Linked DNA regions of Drosophila melanogaster. The protein of the gene in region 1 interacts with the protein of each later gene in a pairwise test. Each region holds a gene or a part of one and is shown on either strand. Other genes may lie near its edges. The genes, in order: CG10068 and Tpc1.

What was found.
Region 2: the proteins of CG10068 (region 1) and Tpc1 interact in a two-hybrid assay, tested with the Drosophila melanogaster proteins (one large-scale study listed by BioGRID).

The regions. Positions count from the first base shown.
Region 1 is NT_033777.3:7,125,672-7,129,597, forward strand, and holds CG10068 (uncharacterized protein), read right to left. Parts: upstream 2,357-3,926; 5' UTR 2,152-2,356; coding exon 1,902-2,151; intron 1,802-1,901; coding exon 1,101-1,801; 3' UTR 600-1,100; downstream 1-599. Other genes in the region: CG10098 (uncharacterized protein), read left to right, coding at 1-474; CG31248 (uncharacterized protein), read left to right, coding at 3,849-3,891.
Region 2 is NT_033777.3:10,880,354-10,884,279, reverse strand, and holds the start of Tpc1 (thiamine pyrophosphate carrier protein 1), read left to right. Parts: upstream 1-2,091; 5' UTR 2,092-2,717; intron 2,718-3,173; 5' UTR 3,174-3,275; coding exon 3,276-3,926. Other genes in the region: CG14696 (uncharacterized protein), read left to right, coding at 366-733, 793-1,324, 1,388-1,746.

The DNA.
Region 1 (3,926 bases):
AGTTTTGCCGCTGCTCACGATGCAGAGGCCCAGGCCCCGGCAGTGGATTGGTGTGGTCCCAAGCCAGCTGGCGATGGAACATATACCCAGCACGACATGTTCGAGACGCTGCGATCCGCCAGTAATGCGAGCAGCTCGAGGGCGGCTACCGTTTCGGTGCTGTCGGTGAAGGGAATCTCATGCCATTGGTTCACCGGGACGCCCAATGCCGCCGAGTCTGTGTTTAAGCCGTTCGTTTTTGCCCCAAATCCGAGGATCTCGCCGCTAACCCAAGTGCAAGCGGAAGCGGACTTGACGTTGCTGCACAAGCTACACTCGCAACGCAAGCCGGCCGCCTTGGAGCACTTGCGCAGCTTGGAGCTCTCCTGCGTGGACGAGCTAAATAACTATTTCTCTCTGCAGGATCACGCCAGTGACGAGCTGGACGAACTGCTCAAGGACTGTGTCGAGGCGGAAGTCAAGTTCTATCGCTAGACCAACGAATACTATCTATATGGATACTCCAAAAACTAGCTTGCAAGCTCTATTGAGCATCGGGATTTGACTTGAGCATTCTTATGGCATTACCAAATAGGCTTTAGTCGTCAAAATATTTTCTTGTGCAATCTCTACTGATTTTATTTCGTTTAGTTTTTATGCTTTTGCGTGATATTTAAATTATTATTTATTCTGTCTCAGTGGGCAATCTCCGACTTGAATTTAAAGTATTATTGTGTGACATTCCAGGCTTAGTTTAACGATTTACATACTTGCATTCAAATATATATGAATACATATACAAATATACATTATATATGGCTCTCAAATAAACGCATAAAATCTGCATTTATACAAAAATTAAAAGGGCTTGTCGTATTTGGATACTTATTTTAGGATTCCTTTTTTTTTTATTACAAAGTGATTTAGAAGCGAAATGAATTGATAATTTAAATTGAAAAATGACAAGATAATTATTTTATTTAGCCCCACTCTAAACATGTATTTACAAAAATGGTCAGCCTGATCTGATTCAATCAATTCCCAATATCGTCAGAGTTAGAAATTATTCAGATACAGCGAGATACAAATTCATTTTCACATTAATTGACCTATTCGTGTTTTTAGACGGATTCTACAACCAAATTGGTCTTAAAAATAGTGCTATCATTGTGCAAGGCCTCTAGTTTTGTAATTTCAAATGACTGGTAAATCTCGCGGAAGTCCATAATGTTTCGTGGGTCGCTCTCCATCCAAAAGCGGTCAAACTCGAAGAACAGATAGCAGTACAACTTGTGGAAATCCTCCACGGTGCTAAAGTCCTGTCTGTGCTGCACCACCAAATTGTAGAAGTGGGTTTTGGCGGCGCCCGTTTTCACTAGATTGAAGGCCATGGAGGTGAGGTTAATGCCGACAATGGCGTAGGTGTAACCCAGGGTGGGATGCATCGAGTGCAGCAGGACATGTTTGGCGGCGTCGTTATAGGCAGTTGCAAAGTAGAGAAGGTTCTCTAGCCCGAGCATGCCCATTCCCCGAAAGTCCGTCTTCGGATCGTCGCCCTGGAAGCCGATGTCCTGCCACTGTTTGGTCACGCGACCGGTGAGGGGAGTGTCTGGCATCAGCAGTTGCCACAATCGCAACAGCTTTTGCTCGTGGTCGAGGTTATCCGAGTCGTATTTCTCCGCCCGCAGCTGTTCCACCTGATGCATCAGTCTGCGGTAGCCCCAGATACTCGTCACGCATGTGCCGAAGAGCCGAGCAAAATCCGGGTGGACATTGTTCTTGATGCGTTTCGCCTGCATCACAATGCGAGCAGCGCGAGGAGCTGAAAGTATTGGGTAATGATTAATAATATTTAACTTAGTGTAAGCTTGTAATGATTATGGTGCTTTGTGCACAGAGATTATACTATTCCTTGGACTAACCGAAATCCAGCAGCTCCGCGTTGCTCACATATGGCGCCGCCTCATCAAGGTCAAGTACAAGTCGTCGTATCTGCGGCCTTTTGGACAATGTGAGGGACCTTTCCACCTGGCTGGTTCGGCTGGCTCCGGCCTTCGCTCCATAGCAAATCCTCTGGAGCTCCGAGAGCCTGGTGAAGGCGTGCAGGAACCACTTTATAAAGGGCCTTATATAGCTAAAAATAAAAGGCAGTATTCGGTCGAGAATAAACATTTTACTAAGGCGGCGAAGAGAACTAATTAGATTTCCCGATTTCGTTTGTTTGCGCCCGGTTGCCAGGGCAACACATCAGGATTGGCTTTTGATCACAGCCTTATGTTTCTATCTACTATATTGCACTTTTGAGAGTTGTCTTTAGAAAGCTTTTATGATTGACTCGCAACAATAACAAATCCAATGTATTATTAAAAAAAACCAAACAGCTGATCAGGCAGTGTTGTAAATAGCGGAAATATGGACGGCATTTGAGGTATTCTTGATAACATTCTGAAGTTTTCTTTACTTTAAAGAGGCACTTTAATTATGCCTTAATTCTAATCGTTTTACATATAGTTCTATAATTGAAAATAGATTTTCGAAAAGGATGGAGTCCCCCTCACATGCTTCTGCAACTATTTACTTAACATTCTGCTCAACAAACGGTCACACTGCTGTTATAATCCTAATTGCTTACTAAGAACTTAATAGTGTAAGCAAACTCTGTTTGTTCGTATTTATATTCATAAATTTGACAGAATTGGACGGATTGATTGAAACTCCAATTACGTTCTTCGCCCCGATATTGATTTTGATATATTTGATATATTGAGTTTTCTGAACTTTTCTGGTATTGTTAAAATTTTTCCTGTTTCCAGCCAACTGACGGCTCAACCAACTGATTCTCCAGGACCTCAAATACTTTCCATCAGTAGCATGCGACACATGATGAGTCCTGCTGAACCGGGAGGCTGGTCACCTCAACTATTTCGACTAAAGAACTTGGAACAAATAGAGAAGATGGAAGAGGAAATGAATGATCCCATCAAATCATTGATTTAAGTAAATTTAAACATTCAGTTTGAGCATTCTTTATAAAGTGTTTTCTATTACCTAGATTCAAACCATGCGAAACATTTTGAAACCCGGTGGTTCGGTGGGTCACCCCGACCTGGAGGTTTCAAAAAACAATTTCATCTTATACTCGCCCTAGACTTTTTGGTTGATTTCAATTTTGACGGCATCCACAATAAAATACATCTCAAGGAGTTTGGAAATTTCAACAACGCTTTGTTTATAGCACATACATATACATATATGACTTCTTTTTTAAATTAAAATTCATTAAATTTCAGAAGCTCAAAAGCAGGTAGAATATTTTAGAGATGACTACGTCGCTGAAATCAGACTGGCGTTCCGAGTTTACAAAAATCTCAGGCATAAAAGTGCATCAGATACTCGGAAAAAAATTAAAGAAGCCACAGTCCTCATGGAGCCCGAGGTAAAATTGGAAAAGGCTTTGTATACAGAATGATATAAGAGTACCGATAACTTTTTATTTATACAAGCGAATTTATAGTTAAAAGAGTTGTGGGTAAATAAACAAATTTGTAAATAAGGTCTTTTATTTGTTTATCAAGCTTAAAGCGTGCAATTGCAATGTTACGATTGTACAACTAAGACTAAATGCGCGTTGCATATCTCTGATTATTTTAAAGTGCTCTATTAAGTTCGCTTCGTTGACGGTATCATCTAAAAACTCGCGTGCCCATGCGATTAGATTAGATGGCGTCTATGTGCTAGGTTTTTAAAGCTTCCATTTAAAAATATATGTTGCCTAGTCGTAAACCTGTATCGCTCAGTTAGTGACCACCACTGGACGCGGTTGCTTCTATACTTTGCTAGCTAGCTGGCTGACCGATAAGGCATTGAGAATGCGGATGGAAAACGGAAGACTCTGGGGAACGTTGCACGACGGTGAGTGTCTTGCATACAAATAAATATCCACCACT
Region 2 (3,926 bases), 3.8 Mb from region 1:
AATTAGGCGTAATTCATGCAGATATACATATATATATAAATTTATACAAATCCCATTAGCAAGCTAAGTGGACCCTAGCCATCGGTTCAAATTCAAATAATCAAATATTTCCTAGGGTATCAAATAGTCGAGCCTTAGCAGCGCTTTAATTTGATGGTGAACTTTATTAGGTAGCATTCGTTTTTTTTATGCTTCTGATTAAATTATTGTTAGTTCATTAACAAAGACAGTTGTTTGTAGCTGAGCAATTTTCCAATACAATTCTACATCCGAAACACACAAAAGGTCCAAGGTCAATGGCAATTAAACTAAATGCATAATTGAATTACATACCCGGCAGTACAGACAAATTAATCCAATTGCAGCGATCTTTATAACCATAAATGGATACGGCGAGACGCGTTGGCAGGAAAGCGAGGAGCGAGTGGGAGAGGATGGGAAGACGACCAAGTCCCTGGTGACCCACACCACCACCGAGGTCTACTACAGCACTGACCAGCCGGTTTACGGCCAGGCCGGTGGCTCGCAGCTGGAGTTGCCCACCGGCAAGTACGTCTTTCCCTTCCGGGCTACCATTCCGCCCAATGCACCCACCTCATTCAATGGTGCTCATGGTCAGATTAAGCACGAGGTTACCCTAACCATCGATCGCGCGGTTCGCTACAACAACACATTTAAGCAGTGCTTCACGGTGATCCTGCCACATGATCTTAATAGGCGGCTCGAGTATAAGGTATGTAGTCTTGGTTGTTCTTCCAAACTGAATAACCTTATGAAGCGCACTTCCCTTAGGAACCCCTCCAACGCTTGGAGTCGAAGAGCTTCTGGTGGGGCTCCATTTTCGGTGCCCACAAGCCGATGATCATGGACGTGAGCACCTCTTATTCTGCCTACGTCCCCGGCCAGAAGATTCATTTCCATCTGGTGTTGGACAACCAGTCGGATGTCCAATGTATGGACGTGAAGGTGCGTCTGATCAAGAACGTCTCATATAGAGCCAACTCATCGGGCGCAAAGGAGCAGTTGAAGGTAACCGAATCTCGGGTGGCGGACAAGCACTGCGGTGAGGTGCTGAAGCACAACAAGGCCAAGTTCGATGAGTTCCTCACGGTGCCGCCAACTACTCCATCCACGCAAAGCGAAAAGGATCCCATTCGAGTTAGCTACACATTGCGATTCATCGCCAAGACCTTCAAGCTGCACGGTGGTGGCGACTTGGTCATGGACTTTCCAATAACCATTGGCACAGTGCCGCTGCTGGGAAGTGCTGATGACAAGGGGCCCGGGGCGGAGAAGTCCCAGCCCAGTGGTGCCTCTCATCCAGGTGGGTTTTGCACTAAAGAAAGCATAATCGAAAGTGTTATTAATCGACGTTTCTCCGGCTTAGGCTCACCCAACTTTCAGGAGGACGTCAGCGATGAGCAATTCGAGTCCAACACCTTTAAGCCAAGATATCCCGTCTATCCATTTGATGGGAAGCCTGGAACCAATGGCTCAAACGGGGCAGCTAATTTTCCCAGTCTTTATCCCAAGGCAGAGGAGGCGCATCCTGCTACGCCTGTGAAATTCACACCAAATCCTGTGTCGCCAGCCGCACAAAAATCGCCACCATATACGACCAACACACCTGTTGCTTCTCCGCCAGGCGGTAATTTTGAGGTGCTTGGATTCAGTATACCACCAGACTATAAACCCACGCCTAGTGCTCCAGCCGCCTCTTCCACTGGCGGCATTGGGTGGAAATAGGGACCATAACTTAACCATTTTGTATTCTACACCTTAAGGCATTTTTAAATATACAAGAAAGCCCGCATAAGTGGCAACGCTGTGCATGTGACAGCTATATTAATATCGATAGTTAGTATCATTTTAATCCTAAATGGCCTTTTATTAACTCGAGTATAAACATAGTGATCTGGTTTCAGGAATTATGCTTACTATTAAAAAATATTTATGTTCCCAATTAAGAAAACCCTAAAACTGAATTTTAGCTTCTAGCTATTTTCTTACTATTGTTGTCAACCACGATAGCCGATAGTTGCCATCGCTGTTCGCTAAAAGCTCATCGCCAGCGGCTCGAACAGCTGATTCCGTGCACTTGGCGACGTAATTTAGTTTGTTTTGTTGTTGTTGCGTAGAGGTTTGAAGCAGCGCGTCTTGAATTCGGAAAACCAGTTTGTGGAAGTGGGAAGCGGCCAACTTGGACAGCGGCAGCAGGGGATTGACACAACTGCAACGGCATCTCAACGGCGGCGCTATTACAAGTCTGGCGAAAAGAAAGTTTTGACGCAATCCACGGGCCGCCGCCTGTAATGAAGAAGCGTCGGCGCCGCAGTCACTGCTGCACTCTGCCCGCGAACGGACGCATCTGCTCCAGGTGAGCTCAGATTGTAGTGCGCTGCTCTGGACATTCAGCAACATCATCATCATCACCATCGAGCGTGTTGCCAATGCCTTTGTCTCTTTATCTGAGCAGCAGCATCGGAATTTTGGGAACTGGACAACGGTCGCCGAGACATCGAACAACAAAAGCGGAAAAAAGTGAAATCGCTGATAAACCCGAATACCAACCGAGCTATTGTCAATCAATGAACGGCCGTTTGAACCTGGAGTCAACTTGGGAGCTCTGCGAATTGGCGGGCAATTGGCCATAACCGACCGAGATAATAGTGAAGTAATCGCAGAGACATACGCACGCTCCGTGGAGCATGATACTTGTAAGTCTCATCCTCAGATGAATTCCACTCCTACTATTTCCCAATTCCTGTCTACGCACTTGTACACAACAATTTGTCCATCGACTTTGATGAATGTGTGTAAACAAGTCGAAGTTTGCGCCCTGCCGCACCTCTAAAACGTTTTGAATGAAAGCTACAGGCAAGCTTTGCTAAGTCGGATTTTCGAAAACTCCATCTTTGATACCAGTAAAACCTAGCATATTTCATTTTTATCAAGAAACAATCTTAAGCTTTCTTTTTAACAGCATCTACCTTGAATTTCACAAGAGTCAAGTAAATTACAAGTAACCTTCAAAACAAATTCTTTATGATAATATATAAGCTATACCTATTAGATCCAGCCTCATAGAAGTTGCTAAGTCCGAGTTAATAGTTGCATCTACATAGTTCCGACTGTAATAACGTCTCCACCTGTCTGCGTTTCTTTATTTTCAGAAATGCCATTGAAAAGTTGGCAGTCGCAGCAATAAAAGTGAAATCCGCACGAGCAAACATACGCACACGAAAAGCAAAACCAAAGGTAGCTCCGACGCAGACATGGCGGTAACCACAGGCTCCACCAGTGAGGCGACCACAACCACAACTCCCGTTCCGCGACGCAAGCACAGTACGCGGGAGCAGCTGCATCAAATGCTGGCCGGTGGACTTTCGGCGGCCATTACGCGCTCCACCTGCCAGCCGCTGGACGTGCTAAAGATCCGCTTCCAGCTGCAGGTGGAGCCGCTGGGCAAGAACGCCGCCAAGGAGGGACCAGGAGCCCTTACCTCCAAATACACATCCATCGGACAGGCGGTGAAAACCATATACCGCGAGGAGGGAATGTTGGCCTTCTGGAAGGGACACAATCCTGCCCAAGTGCTGAGCATAATGTACGGCATTTGTCAGTTCTGGACGTACGAGCAGCTCAGCCTGATGGCCAAACAGACCAGCTATCTGGCGGATCATCAGCATCTATCGAACTTCCTGTGCGGCGCTGCGGCCGGAGGAGCAGCAGTGATCATATCCACGCCGCTGGACGTCATCCGCACTCGTCTGATTGCCCAGGACACCAGCAAGGGATACAGGAATGCAACAAGGGCTGTGTCGGCGATTGTCCGCCAGGAGGGACCTCGCGGCATGTACCGCGGTCTGTCCTCCGCCCTGCTGCAAATAACGCCGCTGATGGGCACCAACTTTATGGCTTACCGC